Linked DNA regions of Mus musculus: all the other regions are reported to be linked to region 1. Evidence: microRNA targets listed by miRTarBase, many of them from high-throughput screens and not tested one by one. Region 1 holds a microRNA gene; each other region holds the end of a gene's coding sequence.

Evidence for each region. Region 1 holds the annotated microRNA mmu-miR-665-3p (ACCAGGAGGCUGAGGUCCCU, at 2,900-2,919, shown strand). A microRNA usually pairs through its seed, bases 2 to 8, with sites in the 3' UTR of a target mRNA and lowers its output. Matches are read on the target gene's strand: a 7mer-m8 pairs with bases 2 to 8, a 7mer-A1 pairs with bases 2 to 7 and ends in A, and an 8mer does both.
Region 2: miRTarBase lists Htr5a as a target of mmu-miR-665-3p. Seed matches in the 3' UTR shown: 7mer-A1 at 1,251-1,257 and 7mer-A1 at 2,411-2,417.
Region 3: miRTarBase lists Tor1aip2 as a target of mmu-miR-665-3p. Seed matches in the 3' UTR shown: 7mer-A1 at 3,266-3,272.
Region 4: miRTarBase lists Ttc26 as a target of mmu-miR-665-3p. Seed matches in the 3' UTR shown: 7mer-A1 at 3,386-3,392, 7mer-m8 at 3,172-3,178 and 7mer-m8 at 1,864-1,870.
Region 5: the mRNA of Smtnl2 is a reported target of mmu-miR-665-3p. Seed matches in the 3' UTR shown: 7mer-A1 at 1,295-1,301 and 7mer-A1 at 1,514-1,520.

What each region holds. Positions count from the first base shown.
Region 1 is chr12:109,583,469-109,587,535 of GRCm38, forward strand. Mir665 (microRNA 665) reads left to right here and starts at 2,846; the gene lies at 2,846-2,939. Mir337 (microRNA 337) reads left to right here and starts at 2,321; the gene lies at 2,321-2,417. It overlaps Mir3544 (microRNA 3544), which reads right to left and starts at 2,405; the gene lies at 2,345-2,405. It overlaps Mir540 (microRNA 540), which reads left to right and starts at 2,612; the gene lies at 2,612-2,678. It also overlaps a transcript of Rtl1 not described here.
Region 2 is chr5:27,850,432-27,854,498 of GRCm38, forward strand. It overlaps Htr5a (5-hydroxytryptamine (serotonin) receptor 5A), which reads left to right. Exons shown (of 2, transcript NM_008314.2): 2 at 323-4,067. The coding sequence ends at 655. Among named protein-coding and RNA genes, the nearest start is that of Htr5a, 11 kb to the left of the region's middle.
Region 3 is chr1:156,065,147-156,069,213 of GRCm38, reverse strand. Tor1aip2 (torsin A interacting protein 2) reads right to left here. Exons shown (of 7, transcript NM_172843.4): 7 at 353-4,067. The coding sequence ends at 3,756. Among named protein-coding and RNA genes, the nearest start is that of Tor1aip1, 31 kb to the right of the region's middle.
Region 4 is chr6:38,424,938-38,429,004 of GRCm38, reverse strand. Ttc26 (tetratricopeptide repeat domain 26) reads right to left here. Exons shown (of 18, transcript NM_153600.2): 18 at 1,358-3,877. The coding sequence ends at 3,766. Among named protein-coding and RNA genes, the nearest start is that of Ubn2, 7.0 kb to the left of the region's middle.
Region 5 is chr11:72,388,050-72,392,116 of GRCm38, reverse strand. Smtnl2 (smoothelin-like 2) reads left to right here. Exons shown (of 8, transcript NM_177776.3): 8 at 704-2,003. The coding sequence ends at 830. Mir6338 (microRNA 6338) reads right to left here and starts at 3,361; the gene lies at 3,253-3,361.

The DNA.
Region 1 (4,067 bases):
ACATGGTTTCCCACTACACCTGCTTTGTCTTGGACAGACCCCTCCCATCAGGCTGCACTTCCAAGACCCTCTGTGTTCATGTGTTAACATTTCTTATGTCTTATTGCTGGCCTCACACTGAGTCCTCTCCTCTTGTCATCCTGTGTTAGGGTTAGGCTATTGTCAGCCATGTGTCTTAAAGAGAAAATTCCATAATGGGGCACGCTTTGCCTAGCTCCACCCATATGTCCTGAAGAGCACCATTCCTCTACATGTGTCATGCTTAGCCTAACCCTTCCTACGTTCTGTATGCCCCCTCTCACACCTGTCGTGGTCACCTGAGTTCTACCCATGTGTCCTAGAGAGAGAACACCTCTCCCCACGTGTGTCATGCTTAGCCTAGCCCCACCCGTGTGCCCTGTGCACCCGAGCTTCATCCCACTTACTCCCCATTCACCTTAGGCCCCTCCCTGACTCTGAGCTCCTCCATCGTGAGAGGGCCCCTAAATCATGTGTCCCATAGCCCTCGTTCCTTTTAGTCACCACAAACCCTGCTGGTGCTCCAGATGCGGTACACGGAACTCTTCTCCTCTCGCTCTCTCTTCATGTTGGGAAGCCCCACCTCTGCACGCAGCACGTTGAGACATCCACCCCTTGCCTTGTGACATGGAGCGCTCTGCCTCTACACATACCACACTGTGACGTGCATGTCCTCCAGGTCACAAAGCAACTCATAGGTGTCACATCTAGTCCTTCTCCCCACTTGTGATGAACACTTTCCTTGACAGATGTCACACCGAGCCCCTATTTCCTCTATCAGAGCCCCTCCTCCTTATGTCCCACATGCAGCCCAGTCTCTTTCTCAGGAGTCATAGGCTCTCCTGTACAAGAGTCATACTGAGCCCCTCCTCTTTTTATGTGTCATGTTACCCCTCCTCTGCACATCACATTTACATTTTTTCTCCCCTGTACCATGGATTCTCTCCCCCATGTATAGCCTTGGACCACTCCCCATCCGCTAGATTTAATCCCTTAATCTCTCCATATGTTACTGACACCCCCCTGTGTAGGTAGGCATCATGGGATGTCCCTGTTCTTTTCTTTATGACATGAAGACCCCCTCTTTGCGTGGGATATCATATCCTTCATCTCTCCCTTGTGACATACGTCACCCTGAGACCCTCCTGCTTCCCGTGAGCCATGTCCCTATGCTCCCATACACATACATGTCCCTTTGCAACCCTCTTCTGCCCTGGATGATGTGCAGCTGTGTTCCACATGCTGCCCTGAGCCCCCCTTCTCTCTCTCCCCTGCCCCACTGACATCTGCAGCATCTTACCACAGCATTGAGCTGCCTTAACCCTTTGTCATTCACATGTCGTGTGCAGCTCCCTTCCTCCCTGGCTTAACACCGAGTCCTCCCTTCCCCACCTGTGTTCACCTGTCTTCTGGCCTCCCATCCTTACTACTCCCTCCCACCCCCATACTACCTCTTTATACCCTGCTCTCTGAGACTATGCTGGGACAAGTGTTTGTTGGCAGTTGGTGGGTGTGCCAGACAAGGAAGAGAAGAGCACAAGTCAGGAAAGATTTTTTTTTTTTACTTTATTCATATGTAAGGTGATACACATGTGCCATTCAAGCTGGCCATGGTGACAGAGGCCTGTCAATCATAGCCACACTTGGAAGCCTGAGGCAGGAAGATGGAGAAGTCGGGATCCACTCTGGATTACACAGATCCTGTTTCAAAAACAAACAAACAAACAAAAAAACTAACAGGCAAGCAAAAGCAGTTTGTGGTTTTTAGTTATTCATGGAGGAGTGTAACTCAAGTTGACACTCAAAGAACCTGGGGAGCGGTTGTTAGCTGTACCTGCAGTTTGTCCCCTCACCACACTGAGTAGCTTTTAACCCATGCATCTTTTTGGGGGATCCATCTGGGGCGTCTAAGCTCCTGCTGGTTCCCATGAGTCCCTTCTAGGTCTGCAGAGGAACCCACTGGATACTCGGGATGGACCTTAGCAGGACACTCCTGTGACCACAGTCACCCTTCCTTCCCTCTCCGCTTCCCCACCCCTCCTTCAGTGCTCCCTTGCCCCTCCTCTCTCCCTCCCATCCCTCTGCTCCCTCTCCCCCCTCCTCATCCCCTGGATTGGCTCCAGTCACTCCATGAGAGTTTATAAGAAGTGAGGTTGGGCAAGGAGGGTAGATGCTTCCACTGTGCTGCAGGTGCCCTAGGGCTGGCTGGCCTTTGGTTTCCTTCCTCTAACACTAAGCCCTGGGAGTCTGTCCTACCTGTTGTCTGTGCTTCTTGCCTTGCTTTTTCAGGAGAGGAGGGTCCCAGTGTAGTGAGAAGTTGGGGGGTGGGAACGGCGTCATGCAGGAGTTGATTGCACAGCCATTCAGCTCCTATATGATGCCTTTCTTCACCCCCTTCAACCGCGTGAGGCCTCCGGACCCTCCTCCGCGCACCTTGGGCCGCTTAGGGACGCGTCTTCAGCTCGCTCTTTTCCCCTGGCATGCTTTCTCGCCATTCTCCACAGTTCCTGGAGGGGAATACCCGGGGCTGGGCCATACCTGAGATCATTCCTTGGCGGGGGAGCTATACCCCTGGTGGGACATTCCCTGGGGCTGGGCCAAGGGTCACCCTCTGACTCTGTGGCCAAGGGTAGACAGGTCAGAGGTCGATCCTGGGCCTACTCTGGGGCTCCTCCCACTGGGATTCCAGGAGCCGTTCTCTCCTGGAGGTCCTCTGAGGGGACCCAGCTCCTAGCAGAAAGGGTGGATCCTTGAGAGATGGGGTCTTTGTTACTAGAGCAGGGCACAGGGCTGAGACAGGGCAGGGCTGAGCATTACCAGTGCTCCCAGAACAGGGTCTCCTTGAGGGGCCTCTGCCTCTATCCAGGATTATGTTTTTATGACCAGGAGGCTGAGGTCCCTTACAGGCGGCCTCTTACTCTCTCCTTGAGCCCTTCTGGAGACGTCTCACCTCATTCAGTTCAAACTCTGGATCCCCTAAGGAGTGCAGAAGATCCCTGTTCATCCTCCTCCCAGGCCGGGTGCCCACAGACACTTCAGTAGCACAATGAGCAGCTGGCGTAGAGTCTGAACCCCAATACCTAGGTCATTGCATGCATACAGGGCCCATCTCCATCCCCACAACACCACCATTATTAACTGCATTTACCAGCTATGGCAGCCAGCCCCGGCACACAGGAGCACCCTGAGTGAATAGCCTGGAAGCTGTGAAAGGATTTGAGGGCAGGACAGGGAGGACCCAGGCCACACCCAGTCCCCCTCCCCTTCACCACTGTCTCTCCCTTCCCTGTCCCCCCCTCTGCCCCCAATCTCCTTCTTCCTACTTGTGCTCCTGCACGGTCTTGGTGGCAAGATGGTCATGCGTGTCTCTCAGCTCACACAGGTGGATCAAAGTCCAGATGAGGTTTGCTGCTCAGGTCTCAGATCGTGTCTAACGATGTGGTCCCCTGGGCCCAGCACCAGGGCTTAAGGTGTATGGGACAGTTGAGGGGTGGGTAATATTTTCTTTTCCTTTTCTTACTATGGGGGTAGCCCAAGTTAGCCCAGGTTACCCAGGCATGTGGAGATCTCTGCTCCAGCCTGGTGAGGAGCTGGTAAAACTCTGGACTCAGGGTCCTGTGTGTGTGCTGTCACTGGCTCTGGTACCTGCAGGGACATCTTATAAGGGGAAGCAATGGAGAGGACAGGGAAGGTGGGCAAGGGAGGGCCCCTGCTCCTCTTTGTTCCTGGATGCTGTCAGAGCTCTCTGGTTGGGGACTGAAGCTGGGAAGTGGGGGCAGCTCCTTGGTGGGTGGAGTCTGCAGCCAGGGCCTGGCCTCTGGTTTTCACCTTGACAGGGTTGGAAGTGATGTTATCATCCCCTAGCAGGAACTTTCACACCAATTTCTTTCTTTTCTTTTCTCTTCCCCAGGAGAAAAAAAAAGGTTTGTGTTGTGTTTTTCAATCTCTATAAGTGGCTCCGCCGATAACCTGATAACCTACCGTTTTAGCACGTTTTAGCACGTCACCAGCTCTCTTCACAGTCCGGACCACCTCCTTTTGCTGTTAAT
Region 2 (4,067 bases), not on the chromosome of region 1:
TTACATCAAGTTGACAGTTACAACTAACCATGGCATCCCCACATTCTATTTATTTTTGCTGTGCCATCAGCAGAGCAGATAGCCACAGGGACTCACTTGCATGGAACTCTGTGTGCTGTAGCTTCCTCTCCTTTCTAAGATGCAGAGCCCAGCCTTGTCATTCACTGCTATGCCCTCTAGTGTGCAGGATTCCCCAACTAAGCCTCAACACTTCCTTTGGAATGGTTTGTGGGGCCCCCATCCACACCTGGGTTCTGTCTGGCCACCACCTGGCAAGTGTGAAGTGGCATATCCTTACAATGTGTCTGTCTGTGCCTTGCAGGTGAAGAATGCTACACAACATCCCCAGATGGTGTTCACGGTCCGCCATGCCACCGTCACCTTCCAGACAGAAGGGGATACGTGGAGGGAGCAGAAGGAGCAAAGGGCAGCCCTCATGGTGGGCATCCTCATCGGAGTGTTTGTGCTCTGCTGGTTCCCTTTCTTCGTCACAGAGCTCATCAGTCCCCTGTGTTCCTGGGACGTCCCTGCCATCTGGAAGAGCATCTTCCTGTGGTTGGGCTATTCTAATTCCTTCTTCAACCCACTCATCTACACAGCATTCAACAGGAGCTACAGCAGTGCTTTCAAGGTCTTCTTCTCCAAGCAACAATGAGAGACCACATGGGAGTGCCTTCTTCCCATAGCTTGTAGCTCAGTGGGTTATATTGTCCCATGAACCTTTGCAGGCTGCCCAGCTGTCTTGAGGACAAGATCCATCTGCCAAGGGCACCAGGGTCACATCAGAGCTCAGCTCACTTCAGTTCTATGACCATGTGTTGGAAGTTGTATTCACCTGAAGGCTCTGGTGGTTTATGTCTGGGCACTCTTCCTCACTCTGTACCAGCAGCCACGGACCTGGCCCACAAAGTGCCCATTCCTCCTTCAACTCCACTCCAGCAGAGACATGAGAAGTTTGATTAGAACATCAGGAGGGAGGAAGTGAGACAACTGGGGCAGGCAGAGAAAGACAGAAAGAACAAGGCTAGTGGGGATCACACACACCTGTAACCCTAGCACCAAGGAGACTAAGGCAGGAGGAGCTCAAATTTGGAGCCAACCTGGGCTAACATGGTAAGTTCAAAACCAGCCCGAACTATCTAACAACATATATAGCAACAGCAAATGCAATGGAGAGACTGTTTGAAAAGCAGCAGCCCATAAGGGCAAAATTTCCAGAACAGCCCTCATTTCAGAGTTCTGCTCTGTGGTCCTGGAGTGTATGTCCCAATATGGGGTCCTTCCTAATATTTGATCACAAATTCTGTCCCCAAACATATCAAAGCACCAGCCCATTTGTGATGCACAGTGATTCCTGTCTTTACCATTTGTTCATTGTAAACACAAAGTCCCCCTCTGTCTGTCTCTCTGTCTGTCCCTCTCTCTGTCTTTATCCCTGTTTCTGTTTCTCTGTTTCCTCTCTCTCCCTCCCTCCCTCCCTCTCTCTCTCTCTCTCTCTAAGGACAGTTTCCAGTTAAAATCAACTCAGTCCATCAACTGGAAAAGCAAAATATTTCCTTCCATTTTGAAACAATTGCTCATGAAAAATAGAAAAATCTACCAATTTCACAGAATTTATCAAAATTATTTATTTACTATTGGGTTTTCTTGGTCTAATTTCTTTAAATTTTTCTAGCCTTAGTGTTTCTTTCTTAAATATTAAAATTTTAGGCTAACAGCAGCCATGAGCTATCTATTTTTTAAATAGAGTTTCATAGTTGGTGACTATATAAGGACCTGACAACCAGACACATGAAGTGAACAGGAGTGCTGGCCATTTTATAGTGATGGTTTTGTTGGTGTATGAACTTGACCAGATAGGCAGACACGGGTCAAGTGATGCCACTATCAAGTTGGCAGTGTGACTGGTGAGTCAAGACAGGCTAGGGAAGACACAGTGTTTATACGGCCACAGAAAACCTTGGGCACACTCTTACCTCCAAGGCTATCCCAAGGGAACTCTGAGAACACTATCAAAAGAGCCAAGGAGGGAAAGAAGAGCCAGAGCCAGTCACCTTTTGAGAACCCTGTCTGTGCTGACTTCTCCCATAAACTGAAGATAGAGCTATCAGGACCTACAGGGTTGTGGACAACTCTTAGCATGTGGTTCTCAGCAAAAGCACCCACACTTCAGATCCCAGCAGCGAGAAACACTGGTTTGCTTTTACAGCCACCCAGGGGCCGTTGGCTGAAGAATCCTCATCCAGGAAGTGGGCTCTCAGCACACCCAGACGATGCTGCCATTGCAGAGAGTTGGCATGTGTCTGCAGTTGGCTGGAAGTGTGATGTGACAACTTCATCCTTATGAGGTTGTAACTATCTGTTCATTTATTTATGTTTGACCCAGGGCTGTACTAAGTAGCCTTGGCTGTCCTGGAACCCACTGTATAGACCAGGCTGATCTCAAACTCACAGAGACCTTCCTGCCTCTACCTCTGCCTCTGTTTCCTGAATGCTGGAAAAGTATGTATTACCACACCCAGACCAAGAGGGTTTTTAGACAAAAAAATTCTCCAGTTCTCTGAGCTCCTTTGTCTTGGAGCAGTGGTCTAGACTAGACACACACCGTGCACTGGGGACTGGCCTGAGCCAGGCTGGAAAGTGAACAGAACGAAGGACTCATGCGTCCAGACTGTCATGACTGTTCTCATAACAAGGTTTCATTAATGGTTTCAACAAGAGCTTTTTCTCTTTCTTTTTTTGGCCTTGGTTTTTTTGTTGACTCTGAGTCCTAGGAAAGTGATGCACATAGAATGTTCTAACTGCAAACTCTGCACTGTCTGTCTGTCTGTCCTTTACTGCCTATGCTCAGCCTGGAGGACTCACTATGATGAGCCTCTAGACCCAAGGAAAGTCGGGGTGCTCCTCTGTAGCAGCAGTAGAGTGACTGCCCACCCTGGTATGCTGAGTACTTACAGCAGCACTTAGTCCATCCTTGCCACCTGAAGGGTCCCAACCGACCGACACCACTTTTATCACCACATGGGACCATTCGCCCATATCACCTCAATTTAAAACAAACAGCTTACCCATCATTCAAAATATCTCCAAACTCTAGGGCAATAAAACTCCATTATATTCCATGTCCTTGATTTCACAAATGCACAAATCAAAACTATATATATATATATATATACATATATATATATATGAAGGCACAGATATATTATATTGTATATAATAAATTGTATCCATCCACATTCCAAAATAGAAAATTTGTGATCATTTCTTTGTGGTTTTGACATGAGGTTATCTTGAATTTCCTGCAAAGACAATCTTTACACCAGAATATGAACTGATGAAAGGAGTTCGACAGCCAGCTTCATGACTGTGGACATGTTTCATGTTGATTCCTGTCTGTGCATGAAAGCAATGCAGTGGAGAACTTACTTGGGATTTCCTTAGATTTTTATTTTGCTTCCATGTATTTCTTAGTTCACATACTAGACTCATAAGTACTTTAAAGTATAGACTCGCTTACTTCCTCATATTTCCTGTCCCCAGGATCACTGGGACCCAGGGGGATCACTTGACTTTTCAGTGTTATAATGAGGATGTGTTTGTTGAGTGCCCACAAGAGAAGGAATGGACACCGCATACGGACTCCAGTGTAAACTGTACCATGTCTGTCTATCTAAAATTTCTGATGGGGTTTCTCATCCAGTCCCATCCTTCAATATTTACCTGTTTTTCCTTAAAGGTTTGTTTGAAGCTAAAATGACAGCTCAGTGGCTATGAGCACATCCTGCTCTTGCAGGTGACCTGGATTCTATCTTTCCTCAGCACCACATTAGGCAACGCATAACCACATGTAACACCGTCTCTAGGGGATCTGATATCTCTGGCCTGAGCAGCTGCCTACAGGCATGCACACATGTGCAAACCTACACACATGTACATATAATTTTAAAATAATAAATACAGTGATTTTTTTTAACCTCTAGTTTTTATTTTATTTGTATGATTGTCTACATGTGCATGAATTATGTACTTGCAGTACTTGTGTAATCCAGAAGAGGGCACCAAAT
Region 3 (4,067 bases), not on the chromosome of region 1:
TTCTGCTCCTCAGGTTTGTGCACTTTATTAAGCCATCTCTTGAGCCTCTAAATTCGAGTTTTAAATACAAACCACCTTCCTACTTTCCAACATACAAGATGCTGGACACCCCACCCACACTTAATACATCCCCAGTCAGCAAGCCTCATGTTTGGACCACTCCCAAGGCTGTGCTCACTCTTCCCCTGGTCAAGAGAGAGCCAGGTGGGGGTAAATGCCCCACAGCCACTGCCAAGGGTGGTGGAGGAGTCCAGCACACCGCCTGCATGGCCCCTCGTCCCTGACAGCCGCAACACCACCCGATGCTTCAGAATCCTTTTGACTCTTCCCACCACTAACAACCGCACACCCATTTTCATAAATTCTTTATTTTGGAAATTTTAGTAAAAAATCAGTCAGGAAAAATTGAAGAGATTTATTGTATAGTAATCAGACAATTGATTTGAATAAGGCACATTCAACATCATCACTATGGAAATGAATGCAAAAAGCAGTTATGGTGATTTGGTAAGTTTGACAAGCCATTACATTTGTAAATATATAAAGGCAAAACTCTATGGGGTTAAGAAATCTTTGTTAGAGAAAGTAAGAGTGTTGGTGAAAATCATTTTTGCTGCACTACTCTCGTGTTCACAGGCTGCATCTGTCTGTCATAGCCAACATCCGTGCTCACAGTGCTCCTGTCTTTAACAAGACTGTGGACCAAAGGCTGTGAGACAAAGCTGTACCATCAGCCACAGTGATTGGGGGTGGGGGTGGGGCACATAAGCCAATGGGAAGGGTACTGAGCCTCACTACTCCCCCTAAGCCTGCGGACTTCCAGGTAAAAGTTACTAAAATTAGTTCAGTGTTAAGAACTCTCTAGAGCTTTTCTGACAATCTCTGAGTGGTGCCCAGAAGAACCCTAAATTTTACCTGAAAGGGAAAGAAAGACCCAAGTCTAAAGACAGTTTCTATTTCCCCTGCTTGCTTCTAAGACTTGGTATTACTCAAGAAGGGATTCCTAGTTAAAAACAAACAAAAAAAACCCCACCACCAATAAAAAACATACACACACAGGCAAATTATCACAAAGAATTACAACACACATAAAAGGCTGGAAAACTGAATATGAAAAGCAATGGTCTAGAAGACAGTACACGGGATAATAGGCTGGTGTGGCGGCACACTACCGTAATCCCATCCTGTAAGAGCCCGAGGCTTGAGAATCATTACTTTGGACTGTGTAGAGACTCGGTATCAAAACCAGAAAATTACTTGTTCTGACCCCAAACTAACATACTGCTTCTTTTCAAAATGACTTTTAAGAGGTCTGGGATATAGGTTAGTGGTAGGGCACTTTCCTTGAATGTTAAGGCCCTGAGTTTTGAAACAGAGGATAGAAAAAAAAAAAGCAACAACAACTGACAAGTCTCACTCAGCTGATTGCACTTATGACAAAAGGAAAAGTGTATTTTTACAAGGTAAGTAGTAAAAAAACCAAAAATAATTGAAAAATAATAAATTTCTAAAATGTATTATATCCTAAATTTGTGTTGACAGGAAACTATGTAAGGCTGTCGTTTTACATAGTTTTAATGAGGAAACGATTGCTTTCCACTTGTGATCTGAGCCACTGACATAGACTGTGCACAAATACTGTAGACATTCCTCTAGAGTCTGAGGTAGCATGGGTCAAAGGCCAACATGACAGTCTGCAAGGCACCTTTTGACGCGATTTGATGTGGTTTTACGCGATGTAATGCTAGTGGCTAAGAGCTTACATGAAAGTTGGATATGATGGCACACACCTGTAGCCTCGGCACTCAGCACACGGAGGTAGGAGAAATTACTCTAAGTTCAAAGTCAGCCTATGCTACAGAGTAAACACCAGGCCAGACATGGCTATGTGACAAGCCACTAGCATTCAAAACAAATAAGTCTAGAAATACAGAAGAAAAAAAATTCAAAAATGGCAAATGGATTTTTCTTCAATCCCTGTGTTTTACAATGAGTTGACAGAAAAATTCCATTCACTATGCTTAAACTTTGTGTAGGGTCTTTTCTGAAATCTATATCAGGATTCCTTCAAAATCCCAAATACATACTGTTTCATGTGTGCCCCCATACTTAACTTACTTAACACCAAAGGTTGTGGCCAAAGCCATCTTGTGGGAAATATTTTCAGATCACCTCTCACCCGTGTCTCTGTGATCCATTTAACTACCAATAGACATCTTCTTAGTGTTTCCTAAAATCCCTTTAGACTCAGGTTGCTTAATGTCTTAAGTGTATACATGATCTCTTAGCAGCAGATGACCCAAAACTGAGTGCAAGATTCCAAGGGCTTTTCCCATCCATGTAAAGGAACAGACCTTTTGTGGGTCAAGATCATTTTACTAGAGTTTTACTTTCAGAGTTCACGTACTGATTAACAGCTTATTGGCCCCAGTCTGAAATCATGGGATGTAGCTTAACAACGGATATTGGCCATGATTCCTCTTTCTGTTCCCTACAGGAGACCTTCCCCTTGTGTTTATCAAGTTCCTTTCCTGACGGCATTTCTAACTAGCTGAGGACCTCAAGTCTTTTCTGAAAGAACACAGACAACAGTGAGATTCCAGCAGGGGAGGACAGGAAAGATCCACAGAAAGGGACAAAAGCTCACGGCCCTGCCCTACACCCTCCAGTAGCAGCTCATCTGCAGGTCTCTGTCGCCCTGAACAACAGAACTTCCTGTTACTCCTCAGCTTTAACCCTTTCATGTCTTCCTATCCTTCCTACTCTAGAATGCACTTTCACTTCATCAATGGCTTTCAAACTTCTCTGTGAAACTCAGCTCCACTGAAATCCTAACAGAGAACCCCAAACCCAGCAGCCAAGAGCAGGCATGATTCACAGGAAGGAGGGGCTGCTGGGTAGGCAAAGACAAGTGACATGGCCAAGGGGGATTTTTTCATTTCTGGTGATTACTAACAATTTCGTCATTGAGTCCAATGCTTGGGAAGGTTCTTTTTTGAGCACAGCTGTTCTGGCCTCAGCTCACTAACGGAACAGAAGCACACACACACCAGGCTCTTAGGTAGGTTTGGAGGGTTGAATTCTAGTTTTCTGTTTTCACCTACTCAAAGTGCAAATCTGTGTAAGACACAATCAACCCACAAGTGTATTATTAAAGTGAGTATTAAGGCCAGGCAGTGATGCTGCACGCCTTTAACCCCAGCACTTAGGAGGCAGAGGCAGGCAGATTTCTGAGTTCGAGGCCAGCCTGGTCTACAAAGTGAGTTCCAGGACAGCCAGAGCTACACAGAGAAACCCTGCCTCAGAAAAAAACAACAAAAAAAAGTGAATATTAAAAAGCACTTAATATGTAGTAGAAGAGTTCTCTAAAATCATTTACATGACACCTCGTCCAGGTCCAAGCACTGCCCTAGAGGCTGGTGAGAGTCCTTGCAGGCAGCAGTGGGGCTGCAGTTCCCCGGAGAATCAGATCTTCCTGTGCAAAACAATTCTATTCTACTGATGTGCTGGACACTTAAACAATACATCATGTTGTATTTTAACCCTGATTGGCTTTAAAAAACAAAGAAAAACATCAGGCCAATTGTTAGTTTTATCAAAGTTCAGACTAGAAAGATTTTTTAAAAGTCAAAGAAAAAAAGCTTCTTTTCTAACACAGTGACGGCCTCCCAGCTGTTTCCTCTCACATGCCAGTCACCTCCTAGCGGGACAGAGCCCTGAGACATGGCCCTTCCATGTCACCTCTGTGACTGGCTTCACAAAAGGCAGCCTCGCTCTTCTATGTTCCTGACGGGCTGGACGGGCAGCACCAGGTGGGAGATGCGGCTCCAGAGCCCACTCAGTTTGTCTGAGTCCATGTGGCTGTAGGAGGTGGGGCTCTCAGAGTTGGTGAACTTAGCCCAGAGTAAATCCCTCACCTTTTCTTCTATTTCCCTGGGGCTTACACTTGCTTCTAACGTTTCCTCCTCCAGCAGGACTGTCAGGACAAGTGCCACATCTTTAAAGGCGGCGTTCTCATGGTCACAGTACTTGTAGAAGATCAGGGTGGAGCCGGCAGGAAGGGATTC
Region 4 (4,067 bases), not on the chromosome of region 1:
CATAACCATTGTGTTCATCAGGAAACAGAGCTTCTGTCATTCCAAGTGTGTCTCTGTGGCCTGCTTAATGACTTTGACCTGAATCCAACCTTGTTTGATTATGGCACCTGCTCTCTCTCTATTTGCATTTTCCCAGTTGCACTGCCACTCGTCTTCTCACTTTAATGATCACGAATTACTTTGTTCTCAGTAAGAGCAAGCAGCCCAGCCTTGGATTTTACTTTGTGATCCAATCCATCAGTCTCGTTGCTTTAATGGATGACATAAGCCCATATACAGGTTTGGACAAGAGGTAAGTTTGAGCAGAGGCATTCGTCTGTCATGCTTTCTCCTATACATCTTTCAAAAACCCCTTCATATTGTCTACTTGCTTCATTTTTGTATAGGTTTTTCTGATAATTTAAACGCTTTGTATTGTTGTGCAATGAGGTAAAGTTAAAATGACCTTAATTTTCAGTTTCTTTGGATCTTATCCACGATGTTAATGTTATTCCCTAAGTAGTAGTAGTCATCACAGGAGCATATACTCTTGGAAGCTAAGTCTTTTCTTTTTACTTTCTATTCACTATTTAAACATTATTGCTGTCTGTATCTCCATATGTACACATGTGTATGTGCAGGTCAGAGCACAGCTTTATAGAGTCAGTTCTCCCCTACCTTCTTCCATTGAATTCCAGGGATTGAACTCAGGACACCCACCAGGTTTTACAAAAGTGCTTCTCCACCTGTGAGTTTTGACCCCTTTTGGAGGTCAAACAACCCTTTCACAGGAGTCATCTAAGACTATTGGAAAACACAGATCTTTGCATTATGATTCATAACAGTAGCAAAATTAGAAGTAGCAGCAAAAAAAAAAAAATGGTTGGGGGTCAGCACAACACGAGGAACTGTATTAAAGGGTTGCAGCATTAGGAAGGTTGAGAAGCACTGCTTTAGAGCAAGAACCTTTATCTGTGGTGCCATCTTACCAGGCTTAAAAAAATAACTATGTTCTGCCTCATGGGGGTGGTGCTCAGCTTTAATCCCAGCACTCAGGAGGCAAAGGCAGAAGTCAGAGGAGTTCGAGGTCAACCAGGTCTACTGTCTGAGCGCCAAGATAGCCAGGGCTACACAGAGAAATCCTGTCTTGAAAAACCAACCAAATAAACAAACAAAACCTGTATTAAATGCTCCTAAGCCCCTTATTTTAAATATAATTCCACTAGATTTGGCAAATGTGTAGTCATGGTATCTAGCATATGCATATACCTTAACTTTCCAGGCATGTTTCATAAAATATAAGGTGGAAAGAGATAAGACACTCAGTTTGACCTCTAACCTCTACACGTGAACACAGCTGCATAAACATGAACACACATGACAAAAACCAAAAAATAAATTTTAATTTAAATATAGTACAGTGGTATGTGATTCTTTTGTTGTACAAAAATAGTTGTAAAAGTGTTTTTTCCATTTTTAAGTATACACTACAGACTATTTTTAAATAGTACATTGCTATGATAGACTGTATAAATTACACATTCCCCAGCCAAGCCCTTCTTTTCCAGGCTGTCATCTGTGAGAGAACACAGTACGAACTTGATGCCCTGTCAAGACAATCAGAAACAATTATCCCTCCTAACAGAATTGAATGTGCTTCTCTTTAACAAGCCTTCATGTTTCTGTCTCAATCCTGTAGATTAAAAACTTTTAACAGTAATCTAAAATTCTGCTGTTGGGGACAGACCGTCTTCTCTCAAGGAAAATGTCAGAGACTACTAAGTAGTAAACTCACAATGTCTCACTGGGAAGTCCATGACTGTGAATGAGTGTCTTTCAGGAAGCTGGAACTGAACAGTGTGTCACTGAAGATGTCAACAGCTCCCAGGAGTTGATCTGCATCCCACTCTTTTGCTTCCAAGTATTTAAAGCAAAATAAGTTTCATAAGAATGATTCACAGAACTATAGCAGGTTTAGTCATATCTGATCCACCTAGTACCTTTGGCAAAGAGAACCAGGTGCTACTGAAAAAGAGGGAACACCAGAACAAGACAAGAAGCTCTGGCATAAGGAAATGGTGCAGTTTTGTTTCCTGCAGTTCTGTTAGACCAGTACTGTGTTTTGTGCTTTGGCCCAATCATATCTGATCCTAATGTAAAAGATGGCACACTGGCCATCTTCTCGGGAAGACTTGTCCCAGGACTCAGAGATACAGAGCTGAGGAACACCTTGGGACTGGCTAGAGATGAAGGCTGTGTTCAGCCTCTGGTCCTGTTGCTTCAGCTGTTTTACTCTGTACAGGTTTCCCTCTCCTTTCTGTGCAGAACTCCCATCTGCCATCTGCAGCAGGAGGCTGGGAAGGAAGAAGAATTAATGGTGTTTCTAAAAATTCCTCCACCTCCTCCTCTGTGCAGTCCCTGCTCTATGAGGATGGGTCTGTATGTTCTAGCTTGTGTACCTCAGACCTACAGAAGAAAATTACAGAGCATACAAACAAGCAGGTAATCTGATACACAAAAAGATGTATGTCTGTTTTCTGAAAGTAGGATGGAAGCCTGACAATACTTTGTTGTAGAAAAAAGAAGTTTATGTGATGACAGCTCAGAGACACGAGGCTGAGATATGATGGAGAGGCTAGCCATTAGGAGGTCTCTTCAAAGGACCTGCTTTATACTTGTATCAATAAATCCCTACGATGTGTTCATGTGTGCGCAATATAAACAGGTACGTATGCTGAGCAGTGGTGCACACATCTTTGATACGAGCACTCGGGAGGCAGAGGCAGGCGGATCTCCGAGTTCAAGGCCAGCCTAGTCTACAGAGTGAGTTCCATGACAGCCAAGGCTACACAGAGAAACCCTGTCTCAGAAAAAATATACATATATATATATTTCATGAAAACTTTCCCAGTCCTATGTTCAAAATTGCTGTTCATTCAGAAGATAGTAAGAACCCTGCCCTGGCTTTGTTTCCTAAAATACAAGGGAGACCTAACTCTGAGACTTACACACCTTCAGAGATGCCAAGTTTTTCCTTTCACTCACCTTTTTAAAACCATATACTCAGCTTGTCTCAACGTAACAAGCTACTCACAGAGAGTGGTCTCATAAGCTAACTAACTACTACTGACTGCTGTTTGGTAGAGGGCCTCATGGCCATCCTCAGAATCACACAGCTCAGAAAGACGTCTCCCAGGAGTCAGAGATGTAGTCATGGATGGGCTAATGTACAAAATGATGGAATATGATCAAATGATGGCAATTCTCTAGTATAAAGGTACTTGTTACTGCAGGTAGGAGAAAATGTCCTGCCGGGCATGGTGGCACACGCCTTTAATCCCAGCACTCAGGAGGCAGAGGCAGGTGGATTTCTGAGTTCGAGGCCAGCCTGGTCTACAAAGTGAGTTCCAGGACAGGCAGGGCTTATACAGAGAAACCCTGTCTCAGAAAAAAAAAAAAAAGAAGAAGAAAAAAGATATGTCCTGAAATGCTAACAGAGAAAGAAAAACAAAACTAGTATCTATTCCTAAAGCCAGTAAATTACAGAATAGTGTTCAGAATGATTATGGAAGAAAGGCACCAGTAGATTACATTGGGTGTCAGCAGGCCAGGGAGATTCCTGTTGCCTGATGCCTAAGTCCACACATACCACCCACTCATCCTAATGCTCTAAGAGCAAGGAAAGAAATGTCAATCAAGCAGGGTCCTGGATTGCATATTCAAGTGCAAGAAAACAGTTCCAATTTGACGTGAGAGGAAGCTGGTCCTGGCCTAGGGTTTGGCTGCTTAGATGGGCACTCTATTCTCCTTGGCCCACTTCTTCATGATCCTGATGATATACTCCACTTGGGTGTTTCCTGTGCTTCTCAGTAAATGCAGCACTTCTCGGAGGGTCTCTCTGAGGAAAGGTTTTAGAGAACACATTTTTTTTAATAAAGAAAAACTAGCGATCTCACGACATAGTACTATATTGCAATGAGGTGTCTGTGCTCATGGACCCTCCACTGGGCATTTCAAAGCTGCTACTTTTCTAAGCCATGACAATGGGTTGCTTCTTCCACATATTTGCTCAAAAAGGGTTCAAATAT
Region 5 (4,067 bases), not on the chromosome of region 1:
GGTAGAAGTAAATGTTCTTAACTGCTGAGCCATCTCTCCATCTCCTGTTTTGTTTGTTTGTTTGTATTTTAAGTTTAAAAAATATTTCAGAGCTGGGCATGAAGGTACATGATCATAATCCCGTCATTTTATGAGACCAAGTCAGGAGAATCATGAGTTTAGGACTATGCTGGGCTATACAGCAAATTCCCACCTCAAAAACACAAAACTAGCTGGGCTGTGGTGGCACATGCCTTTAATCCCAGCACTGGGAGGCAGAGGCTGTTCATCTCTGTGAGTTTGAAGCTGGCTGGTCTACAGAGCAAGTACCAGGACAGACAAGGCTTCACACAGAGAACAAACAATAAAATAAAATAAAAACCAAGCATACAGTGAGAGGAAGCAGATGGGTGAAGTTATCATTTTGCCTCAATTTTACATTTGCTTTCACAGTTCTTGCCAATTGTCACGAGATATTGACTTGTGTCATCTCTTTACTTCCGTGTGAACTGCTTACGTGGTTTGTGTCTGTGGGAGTCTGGGCAACGCCCCACGGACTCAGCAGCTCCCAGGGTTCTCTTGGAGACCTTGAATTCCCTTCTGGTGTGCACTTGAGCACCACAGACTCAAGGCGAATTGAGTTTGGGGAGAGTGCTAATAGAAGCTCAGTTGTGGCACTGGTTATTCACGAGGACCATGTGTTGATGGGGCTTCTGTGTTTCAGGAATCTGGCCAACTGTGAGCGCCTCATTGAAGTGGAGGATATGATGGTGATGGGCCGCAAGCCGGACCCCATGTGTGTCTTCACCTATGTGCAGTCGCTCTACAACCACCTTCGTCGCTTTGAGTAAAGCCGGCGGCCCGGAGTGGCCAGGAAGAGACTCTGAGGTCCCTCACGTTCCCCCCATGGCAGCATGATCCACACGAGGGAAGCTGCCTCTCTGGTGTGAGCTGCTATTCGCTCTCTGGCGTGTGACCATGTGCCCCTCACACTCGTTACTGATTAAAAGTATTGATGAGGCTAAGCTGAGCCCCACAGTCCCTCCACAGGCTGGAAGGAGAAGGAAAAACTCCAGAGTCAAAAGAAATTGGTGCTAAGTTATGATCTTCCTACAGGGAGCGCTCATGGTTTCCCTCTGGTGAATTTGATATATTGGCTTGACAGGGTTCCACTGATTATCAAGCTTTCTTTCTTTTTTCCTATCAAAGTACCCAGAGGTTGTTTTTGTTTTTTTAACTTCCTCACACTCTCTCTTTTTTTTTTTGTTTTGTTTTTGGTTTTTCGAGACAGGGTTTCTCTTTATAGCCCTGGCTGTCCTGGAACTCACTTTGTAGACCAGGCTGGCCTTGAACTCAGAAATCCGCCTGCTTCTGCCTCCCAAGTGCTGGGATTAAAGGCGTGCGCCACCACCACCCCTCTGGGCCATTGCCAAGAAACAGTCTCTAGTTCTTGGGAAGAAACAGCTTAGTCAGCCCCAGGTCCTATCTTCCTATCATCTCTTCTCTGTGGGGAGGTGGCAGGATTTCTACCTAGTCCTGGACGGGCTTCTGGTACTCACAGGAGACCCCACAAGTGTCCAGCTAAGGAATGGTTACCTGAGCAGTAACTGAGCAGGAGCAAGGATAGGTCCTTAGGGATGAGAGAGTTCCCATTTGCTCCAGGTATTTATAGAAAAGGATTGCATCTGTACCATTGACCTGTTTGTACACATGTGACCTGTTTGTAAGATGTGGTGGCACTCTTCGCTTGGGTTTGTTATTTCTGTGTGGGAAATGGGAGGAGGGTTGGGCAATAAGAGACGGCATAGATTTAAACAGAGATCTACTGAAATCATACCTTTATTGTTTATGTATTTAAAACCACTTGCCTGGGAGGCTGAAAGCGGCATTTGCTGTCTACCAATGTGCTTGTCCCTCAGCCATCTCTATGTTGTTGAAGGATTGTGAACAGAAAATTTACCCCCTGCCCATCTATCCCTTAGATATTGGCAAATATATTATGATAAAAAGTGGCCCAAAGTTGATGACTTTGAGTGATCATTGTTTTTGGGGTGTGTGTGTGCACGCGAGTGCGTGTTTCTTTCATTTATTTGTATACAATGCAAGGGGTTGGGAATAGAACCCATGTTCTCTAATATGCAAGCAAGCTCTCACCACTGAGGCCCACCTCCTGCCCCTGCCCCTGGGGTGGTCTCTTTCATGGAAGCCCATCAAGGAGTGCTGGTTTAATTTCACAGCTGTTTGGCAGTGGAGTTTGAATAGAAAAACCATGAGAGTCCACAAAGCTGCAGCTCTTCGCTTATTCCTCCCCAAGACTGAAGATTCATTTTAGAATTGAGTTGGATGTTAGCCAGAGACTTTTAAAACCTCCCTTGAAGGACCTAATATGGGCACTTTATTTCATGTAACCCCCTCTGAGTGGGGTCAGCCCTGTGTCCGAGGTGTTGGGAGCTTAGGACAGAATGTCCTCAGGGATCCTGGGCTCTATGACAGAGCTTGCAGGTGGTTTGAGCATTTTCAGTGGCTCTGTTTGCTCAGGCTGTGGCCTTGGTCCATCTTTTGGGTTTTCCCACAGTGGGAGCCGTTCCCTTCCTGGCTCTCTCAACATTTGTAGGCTTGGAGAGCCCTATTCTTAGCAGAGACACATACTGGGGCTTAGGGTTTCAAACTTAAAGCCAATAAGGGCACACTAGGGCTCTATAAACAGCGTGCCTATATGTCACTGAGTAGTTGCACATGGCAAAGCATGCTCTCCTGAGTGGCAGACATGGATTTCTGCCTCTGCACATAAAATATAGCAGGTCTTACTGGATGAGGAATTGCTTCTCTTAAACTGTAGGAACGGTGTCCCTTGTGTCCCGCCTTCAGAACATTACAGACTAGATAGGTTTAGGGTTGGCTCTGTGATGTTCTTGTTTACAATTGTGTGTATGCAAGTGTGTGTTTGATGTAGAATTAAAAGTAATGTTTTGGCCCAGGTGTGGTGGTACTCATTTGTAATTCAGCAGTCAGGAGATGGAGAAAGAAGATTTTAGTTTCCATCCACCTTGAGCTACAGCACAAGAACATGTCTCAAAGAAGGGAAGAGGTATTTTAAAGTTGATTACATCCAAGACCAAGTGTGAGGTGTCAGGGGATGGAGGGAAATGGAAAGTCTTTCAACCTCAAGACTTTTTGAGATTTTATTTCTATAGAATATGTTTCTATATTGCATTTTGAATACATACATATATATGTATGCATATATATTCTACTTTCTTTTCTCCCCCCTCCCCCTGCATCATACATTCTCCCTTCTACTTTCATTTAACATGTACACATATGGTTTTATGTGACTATATAAAACTCAGTAAGCACAAATGAGAGAAACCAGGATACTGGAGCCAGGCATCTTCCGACCGGATTATACGAGAGCTCTCCATTCGTGGAGTTTGAATCCTGGTTGCTCTTTTACTGTGGTGGTGCAAGGTTTTGCATCCCGTTTCCTTTCCTGAGTGATTTCCTGGAGCTGTTCATAAGAATCTTCTGGGGTTTTCCAGATAGAGCCCCTCACCTGGATTTCGTTAGAGCTTATTAAATCTCATCAAATAGCCTTATGCGTTTCCCTGATGGGATCATTTCTCCAGAGCCAAGATGGGGTTTCATTTTTCTGTCAGCTGCTGGTGTTTTTCCATGCAAGTGGGAGCCTATAAGCACTTTCTGAATATGATATAGCATGCGCTGGTCAGAGGAGACCATGCAGGCCAGGTGTGTGTGGGGAACAGTTTGTTAAAGCCAATGCGTTTCACAAATGTGTTCCATGATGAAAGGTTCTCAGCTTTCCCATTGGCGGTGGTCAGACTCCGTAACTGGAGGAGACCGGAGTGAGGGAACACTTTATTTCTGCCATTATGATCTGTTGATGTGACTGCAAGCAACTTGAGAGAAGGGTGAAAATGCTGACTTGGCACACCTGTTCATGGCGCTGCTCCTGCAGATAGGTTTCTCCAGTTGGTGACAGTGGGGCTTCATCCTGGTGACATCATACCCACTCGAGTGGCCTGCTTGGTTCCCACCTTTTCTCTCCTAGCTCTACACTCATATCTTCG